Tribolium castaneum: one gene and its partners. The main gene of each other region encodes a partner of the protein of the gene in region 4 in a complex. Links are inferred from orthologs where the notes say so. Each region holds a gene or a part of one and is shown on either strand. Other genes may lie near its edges. The genes, in order: spliceosome-associated protein CWC27 homolog; Prp5; RNA-binding motif protein, X-linked 2; Sf3b2.

Region 1 (7,582 bases), about 5.7 Mb from region 4:
AAAATAAAAAATCAAAATACTGTGATAGGCATTTATTGTAAAAATTATTGTCCAATAATCCAGAGCATATTAACCCCCGCCCTGCCCAAATTAACTCTTCCTAACATTCCATGCTCTTGCTTGTTCACATGATACAGAAAGAATAAAATACTGTGAAATAAATTATTGTAACCCTGAAACATTTATTTAGTTTTTACTTCCCTACATAAATTTGTAAGTACCTTGACCATTTCATAGATCGTTTCTCCCACAATTACTCGAAAATGTGGCGGTTTTTCAGTCACTTGTTGTATAAAAAGACTGTTGGGTGTTAGAGTCGGGACTTTATCCTTGCTTTTGATGTAATAAAGACCACTGAAAGGTTTTGTGTCTGGCATACTTGGGAGTGGCATTAGCTGGGTATCCAAATATGACGCAAACAAGTGCATTATGATCTAAAAATACGAAATGACTTTACACAAAAACAGATTTTAGGGTAATTACGGCTGAATCAGTGGGGAGTGAATCATCCCAGTCTTTCCCATTGTAGCCGCTCCCCCCACTCCACTTAAAATCACTCATGCAGCCCCCTTTGGCCAACTCTCTTATCCGTTTTTCCAAATATTCTTGGTTAGAGGTGACTTCCAAGAACGGTATCAGGGTTGGTAGACTTGGAATAAAATGGGTAACATGTGCGACTTGTGCAGTCTTTCTCAGCCTGTCTAACCCCACTTGGCCAATTTTAATATCCGTCAGTCCATGTTTCTCAAAAGATTCATTAATATTATCAAATTCTTTGATCAGTCTTTCTAAAATGGTTTGGGAAATCCATTTGCGTAAATTCTCGTTCCACTGTGTTAAAGACACTATGTCAATATTAAGCCTCGACCAGTGAGCCAAAGCGGACGTTTGGAAAGCTGTAGGCGAACTTTTATTTTCAATTATATTTTTCGGACTACTTGAATTGAGATTAGCTAAAAAAATGTGTTAACAAAAACTAAAAGACGAAATTAAAAACTGACTAGGTGATTGTGTGGCTAGTTGATAAGTACAACGTTTCAAAAAACTGGACATGTCTTTGGCCGTTTTCGTCACAGGGTGGCTCCAAAACGAACTCAACAAATTTGAAGGTTGTTGCGTCTGGTTGTTCAAATTTTTAACACTTGTGTTAGCTTCGAACTCTTTTAAATACGTATCTAAGTCTTTTTCGTCTTGGATAAATTCGATCCCCGATGTGTCCCTATATTGAATGGGGCTGTTGGAAGAAAATGAGGAAGGCGAAGGGCCAGAAACTACTTTATGATAAGTCCAAGAAGGTGATGATAATGAGTAATTTAAACCTGAAATATTTTTTGTATCGTTTTGAGTTGCTGATTTAACAACTCACTGTCATTGGGAGTGGACCTCCAGCTGTTCGCAGTCATGTTCATCGGAGTGCTGGACAGTGGCGAACTTGGAGGACTAGGACTATTTGAAAACGAATGTGAAGGTGTTTGAGCTGTTGGCGCATGTAACTTATCAACAACTTTAAAATTTGGGTCTAAAAAACATAATTAACACTCCCCTTTTTCTAAGTTCCGCACCCAAACCTGAATCACTGATTCCTAACAGTTTCTTCTGCTCCAAAGTGATTGGTATTTGCTCATGATTGAAATTTGAGATCATAATTTTTGCAGCATAGTACAAGAGATTTATGCTTACTATCAGAACGAACGCATATTTGATATAGTCGTAAATATCAGTGTACAAAGGACATGAATTTGCTCTAAAAACACAGTTATGGGAAAAAGAAGGTTAAGTGAGCAGTTTGTTACATATCATAAAGAAGGACTGCAAGTATAAGGAGGTTCACGGAGCCCCAGATGAAGCTTTTACGCACAGTTCGCCGTGTTTTATTCACGGAAAGGCTCCGTTCTAGTGCAAAAGAGTTGTTTAAAACGTTACGATTTGGTCTAAAAATAATCAGCTGTTTTTCTTAATACTGATGGTTTTTTACTTACGTGCACACACTCATGCTTCTCACTATTGTCTATTCACGTACACAAAAGTTTCATTAATTTTTCATACTAGTTTAACATCAAACACCGGTCCCACAAAATTAAAAACGTAACCTCAATTCCGAAAACGCGCGCATCTGCTCATATAATCCTACGCGCATAGAGTCTTATAATATGTAACAACTAAAATAATAATTTAATTAATTAATAATAATTTATTAATTTAACACAAACTATAGTAGAGTCATTAATAATACTAATGTGATTGTTATTAAAGCGAGTGCTAGAATGGTAAAATGTAGGTAAAAAACTCGAACTTTACGTTTATTTGAAGTTTTTGCTCTTTGGAGCCTTTGCTACACCAGGATAAGGCGGGAAAAAAAAGGTCGCATAAAATTACAAATCTTTATTTTTAATATAGCAAACAACACTATTTCTTGAACTTCTCCACGGTTTCTCCACGTCGTCGTTTATTCAAAGCGTTTCTAGGATCGTAAATTTCAAACCAATCGTCATCTTTTCTATTGGCGTCTTTTGCCAAGACTGGGTTTTTGTCCTGGAAGCACAGTCTGTGCTTCAACCACGCTTGTTCTTCCTCATTGTCTTCTTCATTCTCTTCCCCGTCTTTCATTGACTGTATCTTCTTTTTGAACTTTTCCAACAAATTCAAAGTGAACTGTTCTCTCCCAGCTCCCTTTTTAGGTAATGCGTCTTTTTTATTTTTGTATTTATCGAACTCGTCTTTGTACTCTTGTATTGTCTTGTCTTCTTGGACCTTCTTCTCGGTTGCAATTATGTCCTCTTCCTTCTTTTTCAACTTATTTTTATGGTATTCCTTTTTAACGTTCTGGATTTCTTTTTGGATCTCCTCACTGTAAATAAATTAATCGAAAATAGAAAAATAATTAATAGTCACTCACAATTGTTTTTTCTTTTTCTCGCGCCTCTCTTCCTCTAGGAATGACTCATATGTATCTATCGGTTCCGCCGTTGTTGTGGAAGTTGGTACAGGTTTTTTGTGTTCTCTTTTTAGTTTCTTTCTGATGCTCTCTAACTGTTCTTCTGGATTAACTTCTTCCACGTCATCATTCTCCTCATCTACGTCCTCCGTTTTAGAGCTCAATTTGGGATCATCTTCAATTAAATTTAATTAAAACATTTCCACACCAATTATTTGAACTGTGTACCTAACACATCGTGTGTGGATTTGCCTTTGCCCACAAACTTTTCATTGACCCTCGTTGACTCTTCCTCATCTTCCTCAGCCTCTTCCCCAAACGACAATAACTTAAAATTCCTACAACAATGATTTTACAACAAATTACACAAAATATTTGACTGACTTGACTCCTGGCTTTTTCTCTTTCTTTTTCTTCTCCTTCACCTCAACCTGTCTAAGCCTGGGTTGGATGTCGGCAAATGGATTGTTCAAAACTTCCGTTTTAATGATTTTGTGAGGGTAGATCGGCCTTTCGTCCCTTATTAACCCATCCTCAAGCTTGAGCATATTAAAAATCGTGTCTCCGGTAATTTTCCCAAAAATCGTGTGTTTGTCTTGCAATTCGGGAGTCGCCCCCAGGGTGAAGAAAAACTGAGACCCGTTGTCGTCCTTGCCCCCGTTGGCCATCGCAAGCAACCCTCTTCGCGTAAAGCGGAGTCTTTGGTGAAACTCATCTTTGAAGGGCTCTCCATAGATTGACTCTCCGCCTGTACCGTCACCATTTGGGTCACCCCCTTGGGCTATAAAGCCCTTAACAACCCTGTGGAAGATAGTGTTGTCGTAATAGCCCTCAAGGCACAATTGTATGAAGTTGCGGCAGGTTTTTGGCGTTTCTTTTGCCCACAATTCGACGTCTATGTCACCAACTGTTGTTTTCAACAACACCTGAGACGAAAAATTTGATTGTAGTGTTCGTAAGACGAACGATTAAATACCTTTCCCGAAGTTGGGGGCTCCAAAATATAAACACTACTCATTTTTAAAACTTTAGAATGTTTATTATATTTTGACAAGTGTCAAAGAATGAGGTTAAGCTACGAAGTTTGGTTGTGTTTAAAGTGCCAAGCTTCGCCACCTTAGTCACAATTTAAAATTTGGTTTTTCAAATTTTGTTCTTAAAAAAAATACAAATTCAAAGTCATGGTTTTGTGTATGAATTGAGTTCAGTTTTTTTCAAATACTTCACTGTTTTAATTGTTTCATAACAATTTTTTTTTCAATAGGATAAATAAGGAAATAAACGAAGGAGCGCCAGATGCTATTATTATCTTTTTATTTTAAGATTTGAATAAATACGTATAATAGTAAGAATTGCGCGACAATAAAGAATTAAAAAAACAATGAGGTCAAATTTAAATTTTCTGGAATTGGACTTGAACTTTCCCCTTTATCGTTAGTTTTCCACATGGTGACAGTGAAAAATAATCGGAAAGTGAAAACTAAAACAGATTAGGCAGTAACTAATTGTTGTTTATTTTGTGTTATACTTATGATATCAATATTGTCTGTCTATCGCAGACTTATCTAAATCAAACGTTCTCCAGATTAGAACTAAACGCTTGTTGAATTAAATATATTGTCAAACTGTGTTAGCTTAAAAGTGAACTCGAAATTCAAGTACTTGTGTCCAACTAAAATTAGAATTAGTTCTCGACTAAAAGCGGGGAGAATCACCATTGAGCCACAGCGCGCGTTTCACGCAAGATAAAGAAATCCAATGATAAAAGTTTACAGAAAATTCTCACAGATAAGTGTTGGTATTATAAATATGAGTATACACCTGTCTGCGAGGACTTCCTAAACGTGTGAATATTATGTTATTGTTGTTTGGTCGCGGAGAGATATGTTGGAGTCTGGAACTTTAGTTGAAGGTAAATATAGCTGATTTATTTGCCCAAATGTTTAGAGAATCGGCTCAAATTGTTATCAATTTAATTAACATAATATAAACAATTTCGAAAATTTGTTATTGTTATAATTGGGTCAGAACATGCAATGAACTTGGACTGTAAAGAGCGTTTTTGTGAGTGTGTTTGCAATGGAAGTATGTGGCACAAGTGCGATACAAATGAAAATTTTTACGGTTTTACAAGGTAATGCGCGAATTTTTTCGGCGGAATTATTCTCCGGACTTTGGCTTGACAGGTTGGCATTATTTCAAGAGAATTATTTTATTGTGCGTTTTAAAATTAAACTCTTTTCTCATAGCATTGTCTTCGGACGAGTTATCAGTCTTATCGCCCAATTAACATGCATATAATTAAACTCATTCTCATCAAACACTATTTTGTTCAATATAAAGTATTTCTTGGAGAGAATTAAAATCGTTTTGTAGCATGTTTGAAATGAAATTTATTTTTTTATTGTACATATTTTACGGTGTTTAATTGTTTGTATTTACGGCTTTTTGTTTTATTTACGACAACGTAATATTTATTTTTTAATAATTCTGGTGGCATGTGGCAAGATGTTAATAGAATTTCAGGGTCAGTTTGAATTTATTAACCAAATAACCAAAATAAAAAACTAAAATACTACTGTGGTAGGTACTATTATTTTTACAATTTCAAAAACTAGATCCGGCTTCAAATACCCACGTATTTGGTGTCAAAAATAACTAATAATGGAAAAATAATCTCGTCCTCAATCCCACCAATTTTTAAATCGATTAGAATTATTATTAAGACTTGATTTACGCAGGATCTTTGTCAAATATTGATTGATTGGCCACGTCTTTGTACCTCTGCAAAAATACGTATCGAATTATCACTGTAATTATAAATTACAAAACAAATATTAAACACTGATAACAGAGTTCTGGATGAGTAGACCTGACATGAACCTCTGCATAAAAATAAGAAATATTTTTCTAATAATTTGATCAAAGTTTCAAACTTTTCCAACTAATTAATAAGTTACATAAAATTATGTTGCTTGATATTTATAGTGACTTAAATCAAGATAATTAGAGATATTAGATAACTAAATGGAGCTCTTCGAAGACTCTTTGTTTATCAACTGTATCATATTTAGTTAATTTTCGTGAGAAAACATAGTTTCACAATAGATAATGGACAAACTTAGAGTAAATATAAAATAATAGCAACAGCAGATCATCGACCGTAACAAAACAAATTGTTCGGAAAAAACCAACACATCATAACAGACATATTGATATAAATTTTAGCTGAGTTGAACTATGCATAAATATTGTTTCAAATATTTTAACATTAGATAAGATTTCTTGGAAAACTCTTATTAGACGAAAAATAGTTTTTTTAATATTTAAAAACTTGATAAATTAAATGCATAAATGTAGCTTCATTAATTTAAATTAATAATTTGATATTCTAGCCAAGGATGATACACATTGTGGATTTGTAAGAATTGTGCCAAGCTCTTCCCAGAAATTTTAAGTGATTAGTTATCAAACTGGTTTAAACTGAGACTGGTATTTGATTCTATTTTACGCTTTATCTGTGTATTTTATTCACAATGAATATTGTACATTTTTAATAAGGCTAAGACTATTAAGAAATAATGCTAATAAAACTGATAAAAAACAATGGTTTATTATGCATTATTTGAACGTTTAAAGTATTTGGAAAAATTTTTGCAACTAAATCTTTGTTTGACTGCTTGGCTATTGCCAAATATAAATTTGTTATCGCTTTTTAATTTGGAGCAACAACTAATCGTATCAGGAACCCAATTTATCACAAGGTGTGCGAAGTTTTGCAAATTACGTCAAAGCGGTGTAAAATAATTGGTTAATGTTTTAATCTGTACCCTGCAATATTGACGCACTTATATAAGTTGTTTAATTTTGTCCCAGACTAAAGTCCAGTTATTTCTTTTGTAAGACGAGATAAAACTTGCATTGGAGTAAACCAAGGTGATTTTGTTTACAGAGTGTCCTTTAAAAAATCACAGTCAGTGCAAAAAGCGTCCAACGACCCTAAAAGGCCCATTCCGTTTAGTCAGACTATGTGTATTGGGCATTTTTCTCCCAAGTTTACTGATAGCGCTTCCTCTTTATATGAGATACCATGTCTACGGTCACCAACTTTATCCTTTGGCAATGTCAGACATGAGGCTTTTGGATAACAAGGTTTCAACAACTTGGTGTCAAGTAAATAGCCACTTGCTCCGAACAATGAAACCAATTAACATTTTTTAGAGACAATTAGTAAAAGTCAACACAACTTTCAATGCATTCCTGTTAAACAATCCACCCACTTTATCATCCCAATTAAAACCATTGACAATGGTTCGCCATTTAAAGCTAGAAGATGATACGAAGGAATACTGGGGGTTCTACCTCTTGCAAGGCTCTTCCGTGACAGTCTCGACCTGTGTAAGGTACAAACAGCTTAAGCGTTTATCTTTGAGTACTAATTTGCCTCCAGATGGCCTGGCGCCTCTTTAATTGTGATCAGAGGCCACAAACACTTACACGAATGTGCCTACATTGGCGACAACTCCTCGGAAGAACTCGACGAATTGATGAAAGCAATTCAGGAAAAAAGTTACGTCCCGCCTAAACCCAAGCCCAAACATAACACCACTCGCACTAACGAGCCCGAAATGATGAAACGGCACAGGC
Region 2 (7,612 bases), on a different chromosome or scaffold from region 4:
AAAAAAACTCACAAAAATTTACAAAATCTAAAAAATTTAAAATCAATTTTTTGGCAAAAACAACTCAATTTTATATACGGCTTTTCTACGTACAGTCGAACAAAATGAAAATGACGCCTCAAGCTGTGGAAGCAAACTTGACGTAGTTTCAAGATAGTTTTTTTTAGTTGAGCTGGTTTACAGATAGCAAAATTAAATTTAATTCAGAATTAATTAATTAATTAAACTAATTCGGATTAAAATGCCACTTATTTTCCATTGACAAACGTCGAGTTAATTAAATCCAAACGTTGAGTTTTTTTCATAAAACTATTTCTTTAAGAAAATTATGCGTTAAAAAAACAAATCATTATTAACTTAAATAGTTCCGACTTATCCGACTTATTTAGTAAAAATGGTAAAAATTTTGGTAAAAATTCGAACGTTTTTTTAGGTTTAACATCGAAACATTTGAATTCAGTCTGTGTTAGATTTGTCAAACTTTTATGTAAAAATTATAATTTTCAAACATTGATGAATAAATTACATCGTAAAAAAATTGCTCACTTTCGATGGCTGTTAAAATTTTCCAATGAAAAAATTTACATTTTTATTTAACTTGACGTTTGTCATTGAGACATCATTTTCATTTTGTTCGACTGTACAGATGAATTAAAAGTAACGCACTATGTTATAAATTATTTTTCGAAAAAATCCTCGAACAAGTCGATTTAATTTTTTGAAATAGTACATTTTGACATCATAAAGGCATTTCTGGCGTCATTCATTTTAGAGTAATGACGTCATTTTTATTTTTTTTAATAATAGCTAACAAATTAATGTTTTAGTAAATACACATTTTTATAATAAATAAGTATAAAAAAATAAAAAAGCATAAAAGTATATAAGTATAAAGTATAAAGTAAGAATAAAAAAATCAAAAAATTAATTCAAAAAAAATCAAAAATAAAATAAAAAAGTTAGTAAAAGTATTATACAAATACTATTTTAAATTATTATTTAATTAATTTTTATTAATTGTTATTTAGAAAAAAGTAATTGTTTTTTGCTTATTTTTTGTGTTTACATATCATATTAGTTAAACAAAAAATTTATAAAAAACAATTGCCGCTTCTAAAATAAGTCAAGAACAAAAAAAATCAATCCCATTATGTTTGATTGTATTTTTTTATTAATATTATTTTTTTCTTCATTGTTTTATTTCTTCTTCTTATACCAGAAAAATAAAGAAGTGTAATATCTAAAACAGTAAACAACGTTTAAAACAACGTAACGTTTAAAACAAAAGTAAGATTTCCTTCATTGTATTAGTGCAGAATATTCGTAGTTTACGTTTTGAGTAATTCTTAAAAAAAGTATCAAAATATTAAGTAAAATTCCTCCCAATTTTAAATTGTTATTTAGATCAGAAAATAAAGTTACTCTTTTGAATTGACAGAAAATGCTTTATTCATGAGTAGAAACCAGGGAGGAAAGGTAATATCCATTTACAATAAATACAGCTTATTATAATGAGCGTATTTCTCTGTGAGTTCTTTTGTGAAGATAAAACATTGTTCAATTGCTCAAAAACGTCTTGAGTTTTTTACTATTTCAGTTTCTAAGTTTTCACTTAAACAGTAGGTTGCAAAACTTAAAAAAAAAAAATTATAACAATAAAATTTTAAATCTATTTTTTTTTCTTTGGACAACTGGAAGTGTTTTTTTTTTAACTTGAAACATTGGTAAGTGGTATTTTTGTGAGCTTTTTTCTTGTAGGTTTTTTAATCACTTACCTGCACGTCCTGTCCGACCACACCTGTGGACGTAATCTTCATAGTGATTAGGACAGTCGTAATTAACCACCAGGATCAAATGCTTGACATCTAGCCCTCGAGCCGCCACCGAAGTAGCAATCAAAAGTTTGACTTTCCCCGACTTAAAATCAATAATCGTCGAATCGCGATCGAATTGGTCGATACCACCGTGAAGACTCAAGCAATTGTACGCCGCTTTCATCAATTCTTTTAACAAAATATCGGCGTTTTCCTGCTTATCGACAAAGACAATGATACTCCCGTGCTCATGGTAGAGACCCAACAGCTCCAATAATTTAAGGAATTTCTGGTCCTCCTCCAGAATAACAACGTGTTGTTCCACATCTTTGCACACAACCGAGCGTCCACCAACCTGGACCTCGATCGGCTTTTGCAAAATCCGCCTGGCTAGCGCCTCCATTTGGCGCGGAAAAGTCGCACTGAACATCACCGTTTGGCGGTCAGGTCTCACATTATCAATAATCCGCATCACTTGCGGCTCGAACCCCATATCAAACATCCGATCGGCTTCATCAAGCACAATGTAAGTAACGCGTCGCAAATTCGTGACTTTGCCGCCGTTTGCCGCCAACATATCAATCATGCGTCCCGGGGTACATACGATAATTTCCGCCCCGCGCTTCAACTCGGCTATCTGTTCCGAAATGCCAGTGCCGCCGTAAACGCAAACCGCGTGCAAATTCAAGCTCTTGGTGAATTTTTTGATGTCTTTGCCGATTTGCATGCACAGTTCGCGTGTGGGGGTCATTATGATGGCGATAGGGCCGTCGAGTTCCTCCAGCGGAGGTTGGTCAAGGATGTGGCGGAACATGGGGAGGAGGAAAGCAAGGGTTTTTCCGCTTCCGGTTTTCGCGATTCCGATTAAATCACGACCGGACATTATTGCAGGAATGGCTTGGACTTGAATTGGGGTGGGTTTTTCGAAACCGAGCTTTTTGAGGATGTTGAGCTCTTTGGTCGAGACGCCGCATTGGGCCCATGTTTTGATGGGCTTAGGGCAGCCCTTGCCTGCAAAAAAGGACATTTGTTGAAGGAGTTAAATGAAGTACTCAGTATAATTTTTTTTTATTGAAGAGGAACACAAAAACGTATAAAATCCCCAAAAAAAATCAAAATTAGTGAAATTCTTAATCAAAAAAAAAATAAAAAACATTCAGCTTTTTTGCTAAATTAAAGTCATTTTTGAACAAGAATATTTTTCAACAAATGATCAAAAAACAAAAAAAATCGCTAAAATAAAAAGAAAAAGCACCAAGTTAGGTCAAAAACCACATAATTCTTGGTTTTGTTTTTCGAAAATTCTAGTAAATATTCCAGCCAAAAACATAACTATTTTGAAAAATTATGATAAAAGTACTTGTCCAAAATTATTATCTTTTTCGAGAATTAAAGCACGTAAATTTAAATGTTTTAAATTATATAATAATATTACAATAGATTTAGATATTTTCTTCAATAATTTCTAAACTAAAACTGTAAAGATCAAGCTTCTAGAATATTTTTCTTCGTAATTTATAAATGTTTTGTATAATTTAATTGTCTCAAATTTGTTCTTTTTTGGTATATTTTATTATTTATATTATTATTATTACTATTAAAACTTTTTCGATTAATTATTGCACCAACACTGGCTGAAAAATCACAAAATTTGATCAAAATTGATGTTATTCTAGTCTATTTAATTCGTTTTTAAGAAAAATTTCTTCAAAGAGAAGCCAAAAAATTATAAAGCTTGATGGAAAAAAAGTGTTATTTTATATTTTTCAAACAAGTAAATACAGCAAGTTTCTTGTGAGAAACAAAGTAAAATTCACTCAATTTAATTGAATAAAAAATAAAAATAAAAAACGTTTTTGAGATTTCAAAAAATTATTAACAGCTTTCGACCAGATTCAGTTATTGTACAAAAACTTTTACAACAACCAATTTTGGTTAAAAGTAATGTTATTTTCTGACTTTCTCGCACATTTTAGACGTTTTAGACGTTTTAGAGCTAAAATCTCGGTTATTTTCCAAAATTTTGCTAAAAGACATCGAAAAATATCATGAATTTTGATCCAAAACTACCTTATTTTTGCATTTTTTGAGTCTTTTAAGTTCTGGTTGTTCAGTCAAACGTAAAACTAGTTTTTTTTGGAAAAATTCGCCTAAAATTGAATAAAAAACCAACAGATTAATTTATTTTGTAACAACTTGTCAGTTTTTCGATTTAACTCGATTTTGAGCAAAATTTCGTCAAAATAAAGCAAAAAAACACAGCAATTGGTCGAAAACCATATTCTGATTTCGAGTAAAAATCTTAAGTTTCAAAATGTCTCTAAAACTAACCAAAAAATCACCAAATCAAGTCGAAAATCAAAGGATTTTTGTCTTTTTTGAATGTTTAGTCCGTTTTTCAGCTAGAAACGCAAATTTTTTAAAAAATTTATTCAAACTAAACCAAAGAATGAACAAAATTTGATAAAAAAAATAAAAGAATTGCTTTTTTTTGAGTAGTTAACACTAAGATTTTTCACTAAAAAAATTCAAAAAAGAAGTTTGAAAAATCACCAAATTCGCTCAAAATTTATACTAATTTTATCTTATTTCAGTCAATTTATTCGTTTTTAAATTAAGTAATTTGTAAAACCTTTAAAAAACACGCCTCAAAAGCACAGAAATCAAATAAAACCAATGTTACCAACTGACTATTTCACTAATTTCCTCAGTTTTTGAGCAAAATTTCGCCAAAAGAAGCAAAATATGACAAGTCTCAAGCTTGTAAGTTTCTCACCTAAATAAACTGAGCGTTGTTTAGCACGTTCATTACGCAATACATAATTGTTAACAAAATCAAAAATATTTTAAGTGTTTAAAATAAAACAACGCTTTTTGTCTACACTCTTGTATACCGAAATTTTTCCCCTAAATAAACAGAAATAAAACAATTAAATAAACGAGCGCGTGGTTCGAATCTTCCATTTTTGGCGAATACTCCAATTCCAACAAAAGCCTCGTATTTCCACCGCATGTTTTGTTAAAATGTAGATTTCCACGATCGCTCCATTCACCGGAAATAAATCGCCAAATACATTTTCTTTTCCCTCTTCCAACAATGGTATCAATTTTACGTTTCGAAAATCGAGAGCAACAAATCGAACTAATCTTGAATTTAAAAAAAGAAACACAATTTTTATATTATGCAAGTACACATATATTTCCGGTTACGGTCCGGGACAGCTCGGCATCTCGGATCAATAAACTCTAATTTATATGTAGACCAAATAATGTCTAGCTGTGGAATTTCTCTTTACCACGCTCCCAAAAATTAATGTCTGCACAGCAGGGTGACATCCCTTGATAAATTATGTACGCAGAATAACAGTTTTCCAAAACTATATTTTTTAATAAAGTCTGGAGTTAGCAAACGTTATCAACATTTTATCATCGTAAAAAGCACTTGTGCTGCTTTGTATGAGCTTCGAGTGGCTTACCTTGCACGAATTGTGTTATTAAAGTTTGTAGTACAGAAGCTTAATCTCTTGCTGAACATCGTACTTTAATCCGCATTGTGTCGTCTGGCTGGTTATAAAAAAACTCCTCTTAATTAATTTTTTCCCAATAGCAGACTCATCGATTCGTACGATAGTTGTAAGCAAAGTTAGTTTCGGCAAAAGCCGTATTATCGCACCCTAATTAGTTAACTTGGGCATAAAGACGTAACACAATCAAGGGTTGGAGAATCGTACAATCGTCTCCCCTTTTATCTCAGTGTTACGCATGACGAAGCAATAAAATTGAACACGAAACAGGAATTTTAAGACTTTGTTTGCATCAGGAGCTGTATGGATTTTTAATAATGGAACGACGCGCTAATAAATCCGATTATTGGGACGTAAAGGTTTTATTGTTTTAATTCTCATCAAGGGTGCCGATGCGAGACCGGCATCCAAAGCAAAAGCGCGAAAAAACATCATTTCTTAACCAAATAATCAATTACAAAAAGTAAATGTTTGGTCGCTAAATTGTTTGCTCTGTAGTTTCAGCTTGCAATTTTCAGCAGCAATTCTTAGAAATCAGGGAAAGTAGCACCCAATAATAAAACCAGTTTTTGTCGCCTTTTTAATCGCCTTGTGATTGGCCTGTTTTGTAGTTGGGAGCGCATTAGTCCATCAATAACCAATGGCAAACACCTTAATCGTGTTGCAGTTTTTTGTGCCGTAGATAAATTAGTCGGGGACAAATCAGACGATAAACAGGTCCCGCCCATAAAACTAGAATTTCGTCTTCGATGTGTATGAATAATTGTAATGGCCGGCCGACAATGTGATTTAATTTGTGTTTAGAAAAAAAATTCAAAACACAAAATCACAGTTTATCGAAATTTGATCTTACAAAAGGAATGATTATGTAATGTTGACAAATATTAAGACAGAAATAGATGAAAGCTGTTTATTTCAAAAATATTTCCAGCTTCTCTTTGACTAAAAGTCTGGGATTGATAATAGATAAAAATCTATTCTTAAAGAATGTTATTTTCGTAATAATTATTATTAATTATTAATTAATTATTATTGCTTGATTGCCACTTTTTATTTAGTTATTAGTTATTCAGTTTCTTTTCATTTTATATTTTTTAATAATTAATATTAAATTTTAAGATGTTAAGTGGAATATCTGTGACAAAACTTCGCCTCTTCGTCCATTTATTGTCTTTTTTATATTGTTCTTTCTTATAATCCTTCTATAATTTTTTATATGTATTTTTACCAATACTTATTATTTAATATAAAGCATTAATTAAAGGTCAACAAACGGTGTTTCAAATAATTATTAAATAAATTAGTTTTTCCAATTAATTTACCAATTTTCGTCGACTGTTTGAAATATTTTTCCGACAAATTATTATAAATTAATGAATATGTATTTTTATAGTCAACCGAACAATAAATATTCCAAAATATTGCCATAATTGGTTCCGATTATGTTGTATTAAATTTTCTTTCTTTTTCTATTTTGTTTCTTTGTTTTTGTCGATAGACAATTTTTATTTAGTTATTAATTATTCAGTTTCATTTTATTTTATAATTTTTAATAATTAATATTAAATATTAAGTGGAACACCTGTGTCACAACTTCGCCTCTTCATCCGTCTTTTGTGTTCTTTTTTTGTATTGTTCTTTTTTTTATTAAGATATTTTTGTTCCCCCCTATTATTTTTTATATGTATTTTTACCAATGCCTACTATTTAATAAAGAACATTAAAAGTCAACAAACATTGCCTCAGAAAATCATTATTTATCGTCGACTGTTTGAAAAACAATTTTCTTCCACGAATTATTAAAAATTAATTAATAATAATCGACGATTATACTGTACTACACTGGGTGTTAAATAATAAAACAACTTTTGCTTTATTTAGGCAGTAGTAGAAAAAACCTTGCATTCAACTCAAAAACCCTACCTTTGACTCGAATCCCCTCCAACTCCTCCTTGTAGGCCTCCACCTCTTCGTGCGTCATCTTGGCAATTTCGGGCACTTCTACGTAGAAATTCTTCCGAAACGGTAAATATCTAACCATGTTATGATCAATTTTCGCCAATTCCTTCTTCTGCTTATTAACAATACTCGCAGCTGTGTCTTTCAAGTCCTCAATTTCCTCTTCAGAGGAGTACTCCAGACCGTCCTGATTCTGCTCAATCAACTCACCTTTGTTTTTATTAACCTTGGATTTGGCCACCCCTGTTACAATAACTAAGGCACCTTTTTTATTCCCGGACTCGGTTTTGGGCTTTTTCATGTCAAGTTTGTGAG
Region 3 (7,208 bases), about 8.4 Mb from region 4:
TACTATTTATAGGAAACAAAAATTCTTTTTAAAACCAACTCATTCTCATTTTTAGTAGGTCACAGCTCAATTACAACCATTGTTACAGTGCTATTTTGCATTCTGTTTTACTCCAATTTCATTATGCAGTGTTGAACTCATTTCCGGCAAGACAATGAAATCAATCAAAAATATTAGTTTTTAATTTACAAACCTGTTGTAAATGTTTATAAAACCAGTCTTTAATCATTTTATTGTTCAATTAAACCTTTGATCAAAGTGGCCCGTGATTTTAAAAATTTGGTTGTCAATATTGGAACAATAACAAACATTGCCAACTGAACTTCAAATTCACGGCCCACTTTGCTCGGAAATTGAATTGCTTCATAAAATGCAGGTTTCGGTAAAAACCCTCGACAATTTTTGCTACTTCGTTCAGGAACTTTTAAGAAACAATAACTCAAACTTTGAAATCATTAACAGCGCTGATAAATATTTATTTAATAAAGTCGCCGTTCGATAAACAACACGTCCTTAACCTCCGGCCCTGTCCCACCCCTCACTCACCTGTTTTGGTGGCCGGAGCGGTGGTGGTGCCCCCTTGGGCCCCCCAGACCATCATCAGCAGTCCCAGCAAAAAATCGCACCTCATTGTGCCGGCACTCTAGATTCACTCACTTTTTCACCAACATCGCAGAACAAAGCGATTTTTGTCAATGGTCATCGCACACAATCAAAGGAAATTCGCGGTTTTTGTCCGGTTTTTCACACAATTCATTCAAATTAACGAAGTTGGAGCAAGAAACGCTCGATGGACAGCACGCCGTCGAGCTATCGCACTCTGAAAACAAAAATAACAACAATCCAAACCCGTTCAACTGGAAGCTGGCCGCGAGATAAGTGCGGAACGTCGACAATTGGCGTCCTTATCTCACACAAAAGGGCCGTGATCTTTTCTCTTTATCTAACGTGCGGATTGGTTCAAGAAGTGAAGAGCGGTGACGGTGCTGACGCCACACGGAAGTGCATGAAAGGTGGCTAAAGGTGGGTGTCCCACACATGCCCCCTAAAAGGCCATGGGGGTGAACACAGGGGTGGATTTGCGTTTTTTTACCAAATCTAAAGCTTCAAACTCTGACACCATGCGCAAATTCGTGGCAATTTAAATTGGCAGTTCTGGATTTTTTTGGGAAACATTTATTAAATCGTCAACAAGGCTTTGCCATCAACCTGACAGTTTATCACCTGTTTCTTTTCTAATATCTATCAAGTGCAACGACAAGTCTACAGTGCGGTTTTTCTAATATTGTAATTTAAAAAATAATGTTATGCAACCAACATTACACCCGCGCCCATTAGGTTTTTTTTGCACTTTACGTACAAGATTACAAAAATGAATATCGTTTCCCTGTTATTGGACACTCTAAACAAATCATAATTTAAATAATTATTAAAACGTGATCTCCGTTTTGGCGCATTTTTTCGCTTGTTACCGCTGATCAACCCAGTTGTGCTACCGCTGACTTTTGTCGAATTTTGTTGGTTATGTTCCTTTAAACGGCGAAAAAAGCATGTTAAACATCCGAAAGGTGGTCGTGGGCATATCTGGGGGCGTCGATAGCGCCGTTGCGGCACTTTTATTGAAAAAACGCGGTAAATCACGTCAAAAAATTCGAATAAATTCGAGTCAAAGTTCTAGGTTATGATATACAGGGTGTTTTCATGCAAAACTGGGACATTGCGGACGAAAAGGGCTACTGTTCGGCTGACGCTGACTACAAAGACGCTGCTCTAGTGTGTGACAAACTGGACATTAAACTAACTCACGTCAATTTTGTCAAACATTACTGGAACGAAGTGTTTAGGTATATAATTAAATTCCCCGCCAAAAAAGACATTATTCGAATTTCAGCAATTTAATCAAAGAATATGAGACCGGCAACACGCCAAACCCTGACGTTCTATGCAATCGTAACATTAAATTTAATTATTTTTACAAATACGCGAGAAATGAGCTAGGGGCTGACGCTATCGCGACCGGACATTACGCAAGGACTAGTTTCGGGTCTTATCTTGAACATTATAACCCGGAAAAGGGTCTGTATCCAGTCAAAAAAAAAAACAATTTATTACAACAAAAAAACAGGGGTAAGACTACTAAACGCAGTTGATTGGTTCAAAGACCAAACGTTCTTCTTGTGCCAAGTCAATCAAGAAGCTTTGCAACGTACAATGTTCCCATTGGGCGATTTAATGAAGCCGGAAGTGAAAAAAATTGCAAGGGAAAACGGACTTGAAAAAATCGCAAGGAAGAAGGAGAGTATGGGGATCTGTTTTATCGGCAATCGCAAATTTCAAGACTTTATTAGAGAAGTAAGTGATTAGTTCACAGCTTCCGTGATTGGCCAATTATTTCTTACTTTAATTTTTGTTGTTTTCGAAGTTTTATAAATTTTTTTTAATTAAAAAAAATATTGTAGTCAAGCACTAACGTGGCTCCCTCTAGGTGAAGGGAGGCCTGTCATTGGTCAAAGAAGCTTTGCACTGGTCACTTGACTAAACATTTTTTTCAGTATATTGATGATAAACCGGGCGATTTCGTGGACGTTGACACTGCGAAAGTCGTGGGTCAACACAATGGGGTGCACCAGTGGACTTTGGGGCAAAGGGCGCGCCTCCACAGCTACGAAAGCCCTTATTTCGTGGCCCGGAAAGACGTAGACAAGAACATAATTTACGTAGTCAAAGGGACAAAACACCCGTTACTTTACACGAACATAATTTTGACCAGTGAGCCCCACTGGATCCACTCACAGCCCCCTGATTTACAAAACGGGGTTTTGGAGTGCGATTTCAAGTTCCAACACACCAAATATTGGGTCAAATGCCAGGTGTGCCAAACAAGTAAAGGACTGATTATTAAAGTGAATAGGTACAAGAGGGCCATCACTCCGGGACAGTTCGCTGTCTTGTCGAAAGATGGCGAGTGTCTCGGAGGGGCTCGAATAATTAACACGGGAGTTTCACACTTCTCGCTATATTATTTGGAGAATAATGGTCTAGGGAGTGTCTCCCACATTTTGAAAAAATATGTCAATGTGACGCAAGGTGAAGACGAGCTTACTGATAATGAAGATATGAAGCACAGAGCTGTAAATAGATGTTAGTAAATCAGCGCTTTTTCTTATTCGGACTCCGCGACCGCTTCCTCCTATCCTCGTCCTCTGACACGCTGTCTTCAGCGGAGTAATCCGACCCTGACTCGCCCTTCTTCTTCTTTTTCTTCTTCCTATCTGAATCGGATTCGCTGCTGTTTTCGTCCGACTTCTTTTTCTTCTTCTTCTTTTTCTCCTTCTTGTGTTTCTTTTCCTTCTTCTCTTTCGTGACAACAGGCTCCGGCGGCGCCTCCTCGTCCACTTTCTCCTTTTTTATCGTGTAAATGGGCAAGCGCTCAGGCAACTTGATCTCAGAATTAATCTGGTCGGCCAGTGTTTCGCGAAAATCGTCAGGGTCTGTTTTAATCTTCACTGGCGCTTTGACAGGAACTTGCACAGGGACGGCCTTGGGGGCACAGCCCTCATCGTACAGTTTCTTCGTCTCAGCGTCCGTTTTCTTGCCCTGTTTGGGCACCTTGTAGTTACTGACGTGGTCGACTCGTATCGTCCTGTTCAAGATTTTGATTCCGTTGAAATTATCAACGGCCAAGTCGGTCGATCTTTGGTCCTCGTAGCACAGGAAACAGAAGCCCTTTGACTTGCCCGAGTCCTTATCCCTGATCAGGTTTATGTTCACCACTTCGCCATACTGCGAGAAAATGCAAATTATGTCGCCCTCGGTCAGGTCGAAGGGCAAACCGCCGATGAAAACCCACGCACTGTCCCTGTATTGGTCATGCCAGGAGGTTTTATTACCGGTGTAGAGCTCCTGTTCGCTCAGTTTCTTCACATTTTTCATGTTCCTGGAAAGACAACTTCGCAAAATTGGGGCAAAAAATCGACAATACTTACGTTAACGGATTCATGGTGCGTGATTGTGGGGCCTCTGACCCCGAAAAACATGAACAAATACAAATAAAACAAATGTTCAAAAAATAGGTTAGGTATTTGACGTACGTTTGACGTTTGTGTTAATTGCGTTAAGGTGCATTCACACCGCGGCTGGAACTATTAAGGCGACTTCACATCGGTTTGTAAATTTATTGCCGTTTAAAAACATATCACAGGTGCATATGAGATCATAAAACGTATAAATAGAAACGATACAACTTATAATAAAATTGATTGTGCTATCCGCCCACTTCCTCACTCCTTAAATTGGCAAGTAGCTCGATTAAATTGGCAATTTTCAACGCCAACTCTTTGCTTTCCGCTTGCAGGGCGACAACGCGTCGATCGGCATCACTGTCACTCCCGCTCTTTTGTTTTTCCAGCTCACTTTCGACTTTTTCGATTAGAGCATCCATGGCTTCAAGCCCCGTTGTCAGATTTAACATCTTCAAATGTTTGCGGGGCTCTTCACTACTCCGCACAAAATTGATTTCGTTCGATAATTGTTCCTGTTGTTGATCAACTGATAGTTTTGTACTTGTGACAACTTCATCAGTGTTTAGTAACTTTTCGATTTTGTACTTGTTTTTCAAAAGTTCGGCATAGTGGAAGAGGAGTTCGTCCTCGGTCTTGGTCAAGGCGTAACCTTTCTCGCCTTTTCGGAACCTGACATCGTCCATAATCGACGATAGGTATTTTCGGCGGCTTTTCAATTGCTGTTCCTTCGCTATTTGGTGTCTTAAGGAGGCCAAAATTTTGTCTTCTTGGTGGAATTTTTCGCGCAGGTTGGCCACCCTTTCGTAGTACTCCTGGACACGGGTTTGCTCCTCCAACAATTGATTACGAATCGCGCGTTCCATTTCTGACAATTTATTTAATTAAAACCCCAAAAAATGTACAAAAACTTACCCAAAATTCGCTTATTCTCTTCTTCCTCCACTTCGAAATTTTGCAACCGCTCCAAACTAATCAATCGGCGTCTGAACAAATCAACCTCGTCTGTTTTCAACCCCGCCATCTCTCTCTTCATCTCGGCCTCTTTATCCGACATCTCGATCATGGTTTTGGGGTAATCACAAAAATTGGGGTATTCCCCCAAATTAATTTTCTTGAACATGTTCAAATATTGCCGTGGGTGCACGGCCTCGCCCGTCTTGGCCAAAATGTGGTAACTTTTCGTTAGCAATTTTTTAACATCTATGGGATGATGCGTTTTGTAAAAACACCGAAATTGTTTATCGTCTTTAAGACTCAAAATGGAGGTTCGTTGTAAAATATTGTAAGCCACGACTCCACACAGTAGAAACGAAGGTTCGTTTGTTAAAACATGGTCCCAGAAAATTTTCCAGGATGGCGCTGTCAAAACCTCGGAAAATGCAGTTCGCAAAATCGGCCATGCGTACAATTCGGAAGAGACTTTTTTTCTGGTTAGGAAGTCCAAAAGTTCGGGGTCGTGTACCATTAGGACGTTTTCAATCATCGCAAGTATGTTGATTGGAGGGAGAGGGAAGTACTCGAACCAGAATTGACACCAGTTCACTGCGATTATTCACTCAGTACCCATAGTGTGGTCCTTCGAGCCGGATCAACAAAAATATGGAAAAATCTTAATTAGAAATATTTTGTTGTAGCAAAAACAGTTTGAAAACAATGAGATTTTAAATATTTTCAGTTTTAATAAGACTATTCCATAATTTTGCCGCTCATTGAATAAAAAAACACTTACAAATTATCGTGCAAACGGCCTCAAAACACGTCAACGGCTTGTTAATAAAAACCTTGACAAAGGGGAACACAAAAAGTGGCAAATAATCCACGTTGAGGAAGAAGGGACACCACGTGACCAAATTATCCAACAGTTGTTTGAGGTTTTTGAGGTTTCGCTTGTTTTCAAGCGGGTATTTGCGGCACAAATCCTCAAATGAGACTATCATTCGGTGGTTGATAATCCCATTGTAGAGCTCCCTATTATTGGGAAGTGCCAACAAGTGTTCCCAAATTTTGGTCCGGTATGAATCGGGAAACTCGCCACACTCTTTCAATATCATTCTCAATTTTTCAATCTCGAGAATCTCCCTAATCTGACAATTTGACAAGTTGTTTAGTCTGCGGTCCGCCTCAACTCACCTGCTCCTTGACTATGCCCATTTTCTCCAAACATCGCTTCAATTTGACTTTTTTTCGCGCACTTTCTGCCCGAACGGCCTTCAGTTTGAGTGGCACAACCACGTATTGGGTCACATCGTAGATATTGACGTCACCGGACGATAAAACACAGGCCATATAACTCGCCGAAAAATCGTATTTTGAAATTTCGTAATTTGCAACTAATTCGCTCATTAGAACATTTTGGTGGCTGTCGTAGAAATAAACAGTGCCACGGCCTGATAAAATGGCTAAAATTTTATTCGAGCCGGCGTCGTTTGGCTGGGGGATGAAATCAATGTGTTTCAGTGACTGGATGTGTTCTGGCAATGTTATAAATTTAAATAGTTTGAAGTTCGAGAGTAGGAAGAGGGCGAGGTGTGGTGAGCGGCAACCAATCACCATCACTTTGCCGTCCCTTGAAAAAAACATAAAAAAACAATTGACAAAAACCATCGTCATACTGTGTGAACGTGATGTTTTTCACTTCGTGGTTGAACCACACCAGAGGTGGTATTTCAGTCTTCATCTCAAACGTGCCAAACTGCCAGATCTGGATCACGTCGTCGTTGAAACATGTCAAAATATAGGAGGAAACGGGAATGAAGCACACCTGGAATTTTCGAAATCAAATTAATTCTAACGATCGCAAAGACGTACATATTTCAGGGCGCAACTGTGCTGCAAACTGAGCACCTGCAGCTTGCTGTTGGTGTTCAAGTCCCACAAAATCGCCTCACTTGTGGACCCCGTGAGGCACAAAAAGTTACTACCAAACGTCATGCAATTAACAGGGCTCTGGTGGCCCCTCAACTGGCCGCAGACGAAGCCAGTTTGGGCCTCAACCACGTACACAGCGCCACAATGTGCCCCCACTAAAATTTCGCCCTCTTTGAAGTGCGAAAACTTGACCATAACGCAAGTGTTTGTGAATTTTGGGATGTTCCAGAATTTGGTGCTCGTGAAGTCGATCACAAAGATGTTGCCCTCGTAGTCGGCCAAGGCCAGTGTTTGACCATTTTTGCTGAAACAGCAACT
Region 4 (8,391 bases):
AGTGTTTTATTTCTCTCAATACTACAAACAAACCAGTTGGGGACGTGCAAGTGGCCCCAAAAATGCAAACACCTTTGTGAAAGACAGGTGCCCCAAGTGTTGTGCTTCAGTGAACTGGACATTCAATTAAATCATCTAAACTTTACTTTAACACACGTTCTAATTTCTGACGGAGGCAATGGCTGTCGCAAAACCTTCAAACCGCAATGCGGCTTTCGAAGACTTGTCGAACGTTGAGTTCGAAACCAGCGAAGATGTGGAAGTCATCGAGCAATTTAAGAATATGCACCTGAAGGAGGAGCTCCTTCGCGGTGTCTTTGCATATGGTAATAGGAAAATGTGGGTCAGTGCGGCTCGGATTGAGGTCATTGCTTTCAGGTTTTGAGAAACCATCAGCTATCCAACAGAGGGCTATCAAGCCGATAATAAAGGGCCGAGATGTTATCGCTCAAGCCCAGTCAGGTACCGGCAAAACGGCCACATTCTCGATCGCTATTTTGCAGTCGCTTGACTTGCAAACGCGGGAAACCCAAGTACTTTGCTTGTCGCCAACGAGGGAGTTGGCCGTGCAAATCCAGAAAGTTATCCTGGCTTTGGGGGACTTTATGAACGTGCAGTGTCACGCCTGCATTGGTGGGACCAATCTGGGAGAGGATATCAGGAAGCTGGATTATGGGCAACATGTTGTTAGTGGAACACCTGGAAGAGTTTACGGTACTTATAATTATCTTATAAATAATTTCCCCTACCAAAAAACTTAATTTTCAGACATGATCAGACGGCGCGCCCTTAGGACCAGGTCCGTCAAAATGCTGGTTTTGGACGAAGCCGACGAAATGTTAAACAAAGGCTTCAAGGAGCAAATCTACGACGTTTACAGGTTCCTGCCGCCCTCCACTCAAGTCGTGTTGATTTCTGCGACTTTGCCCCACGAGATTTTGGAGATCACGTCGAAGTTCATGACGGACCCGATCCGTATTTTGGTAAAACGTGATGAATTAACTCTTGAAGGCATCAAGCAATTTTTCGTCGCGGTTGAGCGTGAGGAGTGGAAATTTGACACACTTTGTGACTTGTACGATACTTTAACCATCACGCAAGCTGTTATCTTTTGCAACACTAAACGCAAAGTCGATTGGTTGACTGAAAAAATGCGCGAAAACAATTTCACCGTGAGTTCCATGCACGGTGATATGCCCCAGAAGGAGAGAGATAATATTATGAAGGAGTTCAGGTCGGGACAGAGTCGTGTACTTATCACGACCGATGTGTGGGCGAGAGGTATCGACGTCCAGCAAGTCAGTTTGGTCATTAATTACGATTTGCCGAACAACCGTGAGTTGTACATTCACCGTATTGGGCGATCTGGCAGGTTTGGTAGAAAGGGTGTTGCGATTAATTTCGTCAAGTCGGACGATATCAGGATTTTGCGGGATATTGAGCAGTATTATTCCACACAGATTGACGAAATGCCGATGAATGTCGCTGATTTAATTTAAACGAATAACATTTTTTATGTCCTTATATTATGTAAGAAGTTTGTGTAATAATTAATTAATTAATATGGGAAGTAATAAACGACTATGATTTTTCCTACTCCTAATATTTCTCTCGCCAAATTAAAATCAGAATGACAAATATTCATACCAGAAAATGCACTAAAACTTGAATTCTTTGTATTTTTTCGTTTGTTTTGTGTCCTGTTGTTGGCGCTTGCGTTTATTCTAAAACGAAACAATTAGGTAAATCAACAAATTACACAATATGTTACCTTTTGTTTGGCGACGTGCTCAGCTAACATATCACTGAGATCTTCCTTCTGCAGCTGTGACTGGTTTTCCCTCATTTGTTGTTCGTAACGAACCGCCATTGCATCGCTATCCATATCCAACTCAGACGGATCAAGAGCCAACTCAACCATTCCTTCCTTGTCCCCTGGTTTGCGACTAGTTGCAGGGGCTGCGCCCACAGCAGACATGTCGTAAACGTGGCTGCTCCCCATCATGGAACCACCTATTCTCTCATTGCGTTTTTCGGGAATGACATGATACAAAATCGGGTTTTCACCCCTACAAAACAATTTAAAATACCCCCCTAGAGACAAAATAATTCTTACTGTTCCATTTCGCTCTCGATTTTCTTTTTCCTCAATTCTATAGCTTCGGGTGTTTCCATGCCAGTTGGCACGCTTGTGAGACCACTAGGTGTCACCAAGCCCTCAGCTGGAGTAACAAGACCGGATTCGTCAGCGGCGTTTTGTTGGTTGTCTTGGTCTTCCTCCTCTTCCTCATCCTCCTCCTCTGATTCGGACTCGAGCTCGCCCCAGAGGGTGCGATCCACGGAAGGGTCCTCACCAATGTCCTAAACATTGATATTTGAACAAAATTCAATAAAACAATATTATAAAATACTTACATCTATGTTGGTAACATTTGTTCCAAACACATCACCGTACAATGGTTTTCCATTTTCGTCCACCGGTGGTTTTCCCCACCCACCGGCATGGTACCCAAAGGCACAACCATCAGGGATGGGGGCATTTAATCCCGGAATTTTCAAGTTGGGGTAGCTGGGTGGGGGACCATAACGTTGCATTGCAATCAACCATGGTGGGGGTACTTTATTAGCGTTAGGGCCCACAGGCATTCCTAAGGCCGTTCTTAATTCTTCTGATAAATCTCCAGGCTTTTTTTCCTTCAATCTGGTTTCAAACTCTTTGCCCTCGTAATAAAGGTCCCCATGGATGGTCATTTTGGGTTTAGTTTGCCACCTAACAATAACAATGAGATTATAAAAAAAATTCTAAATAAACAGCTGTCTATCTTTTTCAATTATTCCCAATCTCTACGAATACACAATTACAAACAATAGCAATTTTAGCTTTTATCAAAAATAAAAAAAACGTACTTGAAAAATGCGTCGTGTAATTTTTGATAATCAATATCGATTTTTCCAAGTTTGGGTCTGGTCTTTTCCCGCATTTTAGCTTTGAGTGTTTTGGATTCATCCTTATCTTGCAATGACGCACGCATTTCCATGATTCCAGTCCTTTTAATGAAATCTGGAAGATTAAAAGGTGGTTTCTCTATACCACGTTTACCTTGCAAGTACTTTCGTTTGAAACACCAATGACGTGGTACCTGAAAAACACATTATTCAGCCAATTGCTAACTCCGCATATATTTTCATCTGCTTTATTATTATGAAAAATCTGTTAAGTTTGTTCCAAAACATCACTTTTTAATAAAAAATTCAAATCCTTGCTTCTTATGCGTTCAGTAAAATGTTTAGTTTGGAACAAAGTTCGTCTAAAGAAAATAATAATTAATAATGCTACAGAATTCTATATGTGCGCAAAATTAAGAGTTTTCAAATTGGAAGTAGTGACGAAAATTATTTTTCCAAAGCTTACGACTTAATTCTATTCTTAATAATAATTTAATAAAAGGTATTCTCTTTTTTTATTAATTGTTAGTAGTTCCTGAATTTTGTTAACATTTTCGTGTTATAATAAAATTGTTACAAAGCATAATTTTTTGTGTCCCATCCGTAACTAATTATTTATAACAACTTTTAGAAGTGGCAAAATGAATTTAAATTGTTAATCCATCTTTTTTTTTTAATAAGCCATTTTTAAAATAATAGTTATGTGCCGTCCGTAATCATGGAATGGCTGCATTACTTTTAATTTTTGAGAAAATTATAATCGTTACCTGAACGGTATTTCTGTGAGCTTTCAATTGGACCAACAATTTTGGGTCCCTGGCTGTTACATCGTGCATTTCTACAACGTCTGGTCTACTGACTAGTTGTTTAAGCTCGGCGACGCTAAGTCGCGTCAATTTTTTAAGCTTTCTTTTGGACATTTTTGACTTATCGTCAAGCTTTTTCTGAAAAAAAAATAGATACATATTTTTTATTCATAATGTAATACAACACTTACGTCGTCCCCATCTTCCATTTCTTCCTGAAAGTGATCTCCTATGCTATTTAACATTGATTTACTTGACAATGATGTTGGCGTTGCCAGAACTGGGGGTGGGATATCATGCTTTTGATCAGTTATTTTAAACACGTCAAAAATGCTATAAAACTGCCGGTATTGTGGAGCCAGTTCAAGAAGACTAATCGTCTCTTGGACGTACCTTTAATTAAACTCATAACAATTTTGTCAAACAAATAGAAAAAACACCTACTCAACTTCCACATCTGTATTCCCATCCTCTTGCCCATCCTTTTTCTCCTCCTCTTCAGCCGCTTTATTCTGTTCATTCTCCCTGTTTTTCTTGTTCTTCTTCCTTTTCTTCTTCTTTTTATTCTTACTGATTTTGGTGGTCTCTTTCACCTGACTCTCTTCTTCATTTTCAACCACGGGTTCCTAAAAAAACAATCGTTATAACTATATTCATACAAAAAATTAAAAAAGCTACAATATTGTCATCTTTCTCCCAAAGCGCCTCTCTAGGAGTCTGCGGCTGTTGAACTACTGTTTCCGTTTCTTCTCGTTCTAGTTCACGCGCTCTCTGATTTTTTAACGCCAACACCTCTTCCAACACTTGAGGTAAAACAACTTCAGTTGGTGGCGTCTCCATCATCTGATCAGGAGGATCCACTTTTAGGGATAGCAATGAGGGGAGTTGTTTTTCACCACCAACACCTGAAATAGTCCAATGCGATATAAACAAACTGGTTGAAAACAATCAATTACCATGTTCACCAGCCCACCCTTGCATACCTGACCCAAACATCCCTTCCTGGTGGGGCACAGGGTGCTCCGGGACACCCTCTTGTAGCTGATCCGGATTCATTTGTCAGTAGAATCAGTGCTTGTTGCAGCCGTAAGCTGAAAGGAGACGGGATTATGGAATTGTTCTAACACTAAAAAGCACTTTTCTCAATTTGATATAACCTCTTTCTCATACTAATTTCTTAAAAAATGTTTGAATCAAAGCAAGAAGCGAACTTACTATAACAGATAGTCTGTTAAATTTTATCTACAATGAGGAAAAACCGCAAACTTTTAATATTATTAATAATTTATTGCGGCATTCAGCAACGTTTCGGTCGACATTTTTGTTTGGAATTAGAGCGAATGCGACCGTAATCGCGACAGCTCGATTTCCTGCAAAAGCGAAAACATTTCCCAAAATTTTCATACAGAATAAATCAAATGTAGTAGTTATTTATCCAGTTAGTTACAACTTTCTCTATTAACATCTTGTAAATACAATAATTTATAAATATTTAATCAATTTATTTTTCAAACAAGATGCCAATCTAATTTGGACCAATCACGCATCTCAATCTCAAATGTCAGATTCAAAAAAACGGTTTTGTTGTCGGTTTGTCATTTGTGTGCCTTGTTTACTGTAAAGTTACTATAAAAAGCGAATAATTGGATTTAACACAACGTTAAAGGTAAAAACCGAGTTTTTTTGATACGAAAATTACATAAAAATTGTTTTATAGCTTGCATTAAAATGTCAGTGAGGTCCAGCAGACGTTTAAATAAAAAACTAAATCCACCTGAAATGGAAAGCACCAGTGGCCCCTTAAGCAGTGCCAAAGCAACAAGAAGTGGACGAAAAGTCAGAAAAACGAACGATTTGCTTTTCTTCAGTTTTAATGCTTCTGCAGTGGAAAAAGAAGACGAAAATATTAAGCCAACGTCGTCAAAGCATAATAAACAGAATTTGCCTCGTTTGGAGTTCGATGAGAGCGGGAAAAGTGACAAAGGAAGCCCTTTTTTGTTCAAGGAAGTTCAAAAAATCTCGCCGCCACCTGTACCAAAAAATAAAAGAAAAATCGTCAAAGCTAAGAGAGTTCTTAGGAGTACCAAGCAATGTGAACTGGAAGACAAGTGCAATGATGAGACATTAGATCTCACTACAAAAAGTTTGAAGGAGAAATCTTCCGAAAATTCTGTAAATCTTGTGAGTGATGGTGAGGGAAGTTCACGTTTCATCACAGTCACGGAGAAAATGGCTCAAGATGGACACGTGAAAAAAGAAAATAAACATGGCAAGACACCAAAGGTCAAAAGACAGAGTGGGAAAGGAGAGTTTTCTTCGTTTAGAGACATTGAAGATTTTAAATCTCTTGAAGAACCGTCAGAAAATTGCAAGAGCGTAAATTTGAGCCCTTTAAATGAAGATGAGGGAAGTTCAAGCTACATTGAAGTCAACGAGAAGAGTACACAAGATGGACGTATTACAGAGAAAAATAGTCCTAGCAATGGTACTTTCCCCAATTTTGTTGCTTCAAGCAAGACACCAAAGACCAAAAAACAGAATTTGTCTTCTTTGGAAGCGGACGAAAGTGGGAAAGGAAAGTTTTCTTCGTTTAGGGAAATTGAAGATTCAAAATCTTTTGAAAATTGCAAGTCTGTAAACTTGAGTCCTGTGAATGAAGATGAGGGAAGTTCAAGCTACATTGAAGTGCAGGAAAAGACTACTACAGAGAAGATCAGTCCTACCATTGATTTGCCCAAATTTAATTTTGTTGCTTCAACGGCGAAAAAAGAAAAAAAATCTGAAACATCAAAGGACAAAAAACAAAATGTGCCTGTCATTGAGTTGGACGAGAGTGGGAGCAGCAGTGAAGAGTCCTTTTCATTTAAAGAAATTGAAAATTCCGCCAAGCATTGTGAGGAAAATGATGAGACATTTAATGTTGAAACAAGTAATTCATATTTGGATCGAAAACCAATTAAACAACCGTCTGAAAATTGCAAGAGTCAAGAAAACGACAGTAATGTGCAAAGTGAACAGTTGATTTCAAAGATTGGCCAAACCACTGTCTCTGAGCAATTAAGTGAAAAGAAAGAGTCTTTTGGTTCAAACTTGATTGTCAGTTTATTGCCAAGCCCCATATCACCTTCAACACAAAGTTTAAAAGATGAAGCTCCACCGTATTTGTCTGTGCATTCAGCTGAAGACCCAATCCAGCCGTCTTTGAATGGAAGCAGTGATGAGACCTCTATCAGAAGGAGAACGTACGAACTGGAAAATAGTGTTAATGATATATCACTCTTGAAGTCCGTATCAGGGAAAGATGGAACCAAATCGTCCCTTGGTGACGATAATTCAGAAGAGTATGTAACGCCCCAAGTGATGTTTTCTAAAGTTACTCAAAGAAAAAGGTGGAATAAAGTTAACACCACACCGTTTCAAATTAAGGGCAGTCCGAGGTGGATTAGCAGTCCAAGACCGTCAACCTCCAAGTCGACACCAGGAGTTACAAAGCCACGAGTTTCGCCAAAATTAAAAAATCCCAAACTCTCAGCGAAAAAACCCCTTTCTAATGTCAAAGTGCCAAACTTTGCGGCAATTCACAAACGAGCAATGGATAGGGTTGAAAGTATAGTTGAATACAAACAGAGAAAGGAGGAAAGAGCAAAGATGTTAATATCAGGGAAAAAGCCGCAAAAACAAGCGGAAAAACCCGAGAAAGTAGGGAGAAAACAGTTGAGGTTTGCCCCAGACACTGCTGAGAAGGATAAATCGATGACGTTTATTCCCTTGCCCTCAACACCATTGCCAAAGGGTGTGAAGAAGAACTTTGATGAAAGTCTTGCGAGTGAGAACGAAGAGGAAATCCAACCTCCTGTCTTCAAATTTCCGAAACCAACTTTCGCGTTCGAGACTAAAATACGCTCGCCTGTTTTCAAGTTCACCAAACCGACTTTTACAAGTGAAGAGAGAAGTGCACTGGAAAAGAAAATTAATAACCTTGCAAGTCACATCCCACGAATGCAGAAAACCAATTTCGGATTCCTTAGGCGTGAAGCAAACGATGAAAGAAGAGCCCTGGTGGAGAAGAATTGCAATATTAATAAATTTGGAATTTCAAACCCATTCCACTCCAAAAGTGCAAAAGCACAAGTCAGACTTGAAGAAATCAAAAGTGTCGCCACTAAAAGCAAGCCAGTTAAAAACACACTTGAGGCTCGAAAATGCACAATCAAGGGGGTGAGGTCGAACCGAAGATTTGAATTATTGATGAACATGAGGAAGGGGAAGTAGGTTTAGTTTTTGTTTTACATTTTAACGTTTGTACTCATTACACATTTAATAAAGATTCATTTAACGGCACTATATTTCCTTAACACTTAATTGTTGATTCATCAAAATATTTGTTAAACTTCTTCCACAATGGCCTTTTCTTTGGGTCCTTGCGACTGTTGCTTGGCTTCAGATTTGGCATAAGCCCTATCAAAAATGTATGAAGGTGTAATTACAACTTTAAACCAACTTACCAGCTTTGTGTGCCATTGTAACAAGAGATGACATCCGTTTTTGTTGTTTCTTACATAAACCGGTTACTCTTCGCGGTAACATGCACCCGTCAGAACGGACGAATTGGCTCAATATTAAAACATCAGTGTGTTTT

The links.
Region 1: Sf3b2 (region 4) and spliceosome-associated protein CWC27 homolog share a complex: the UniProt entries of both Homo sapiens proteins name them as parts of the minor spliceosome. The link is inferred for Tribolium castaneum from reciprocal best matches to the Homo sapiens genes SF3B2 and CWC27.
Region 2: Sf3b2 (region 4) and Prp5 share a complex: the UniProt entries of both Homo sapiens proteins name them as parts of the 17S U2 SnRNP complex. The link is inferred for Tribolium castaneum from reciprocal best matches to the Homo sapiens genes SF3B2 and DDX46.
Region 3: Sf3b2 (region 4) and RNA-binding motif protein, X-linked 2 share a complex: the UniProt entries of both Homo sapiens proteins name them as parts of the minor spliceosome. The link is inferred for Tribolium castaneum from reciprocal best matches to the Homo sapiens genes SF3B2 and RBMX2.

Annotation. Positions count from the first base shown.
Region 1 is NC_087396.1:19,897,029-19,904,610, forward strand, and holds spliceosome-associated protein CWC27 homolog, read right to left. Parts: upstream 4,058-7,582; 5' UTR 3,954-4,057; coding exon 3,912-3,953; intron 3,862-3,911; coding exon 3,320-3,861; intron 3,274-3,319; coding exon 3,164-3,273; intron 3,111-3,163; coding exon 2,897-3,110; intron 2,849-2,896; coding exon 2,407-2,848; 3' UTR 2,368-2,406; downstream 1-2,367. Other genes in the region: transmembrane protein 209, read right to left, coding at 45-173, 222-434, 484-953, 1,002-1,319, 1,367-1,519, 1,569-1,744, 1,794-1,931, 1,980-1,993; uncharacterized protein LOC658443, read left to right, coding at 5,015-5,069, 6,888-7,108, 7,157-7,338, 7,386-7,582. UniProt on the Homo sapiens protein: As part of the spliceosome, plays a role in pre-mRNA splicing. Probable inactive PPIase with no peptidyl-prolyl cis-trans isomerase activity. As a component of the minor spliceosome, involved in the splicing of U12-type introns in pre-mRNAs.
Region 2 is NC_087399.1:721,282-728,893, reverse strand, and holds part of Prp5 (probable ATP-dependent RNA helicase DDX46), read right to left. Parts: coding exon 7,262-7,612; intron 2,826-7,261; coding exon 1,776-2,825; intron 1-1,775. UniProt on the Homo sapiens protein: Component of the 17S U2 SnRNP complex of the spliceosome, a large ribonucleoprotein complex that removes introns from transcribed pre-mRNAs.
Region 3 is NC_087396.1:22,562,546-22,569,753, forward strand, and holds RNA-binding motif protein, X-linked 2, read right to left. Parts: upstream 4,140-7,208; 5' UTR 4,001-4,139; coding exon 3,987-4,000; intron 3,938-3,986; coding exon 3,151-3,937; 3' UTR 3,147-3,150; downstream 1-3,146. Other genes in the region: LRP1 (prolow-density lipoprotein receptor-related protein 1), read right to left, coding at 547-631; mitochondrial tRNA-specific 2-thiouridylase 1, read left to right, coding at 1,551-1,632, 1,679-1,844, 1,892-2,076, 2,126-2,352, 2,553-3,146; TBC1 domain family member 31, read right to left, coding at 4,265-4,887, 4,935-5,564, 5,752-6,106, 6,153-6,588, 6,635-6,783, 6,831-7,208. UniProt on the Homo sapiens protein: Involved in pre-mRNA splicing as component of the activated spliceosome. As a component of the minor spliceosome, involved in the splicing of U12-type introns in pre-mRNAs.
Region 4 is NC_087396.1:14,196,000-14,204,390, forward strand, and holds Sf3b2 (splicing factor 3B subunit 2), read right to left. Parts: upstream 5,115-8,391; 5' UTR 4,968-5,114; intron 4,844-4,967; 5' UTR 4,809-4,843; coding exon 4,709-4,808; intron 4,658-4,708; coding exon 4,431-4,657; intron 4,379-4,430; coding exon 4,197-4,378; intron 4,146-4,196; coding exon 3,944-4,145; intron 3,891-3,943; coding exon 3,714-3,890; intron 3,141-3,713; coding exon 2,908-3,140; intron 2,771-2,907; coding exon 2,416-2,770; intron 2,362-2,415; coding exon 2,117-2,361; intron 2,070-2,116; coding exon 1,772-2,069; intron 1,725-1,771; coding exon 1,659-1,724; 3' UTR 1,585-1,658; downstream 1-1,584. Other genes in the region: eukaryotic initiation factor 4A-III, read left to right, coding at 179-326, 379-714, 769-1,499; uncharacterized protein LOC103313715, read left to right, coding at 5,481-8,024; mRpS18A (large ribosomal subunit protein mL66), read right to left, coding at 8,104-8,210, 8,258-8,391. UniProt on the Homo sapiens protein: Component of the 17S U2 SnRNP complex of the spliceosome, a large ribonucleoprotein complex that removes introns from transcribed pre-mRNAs.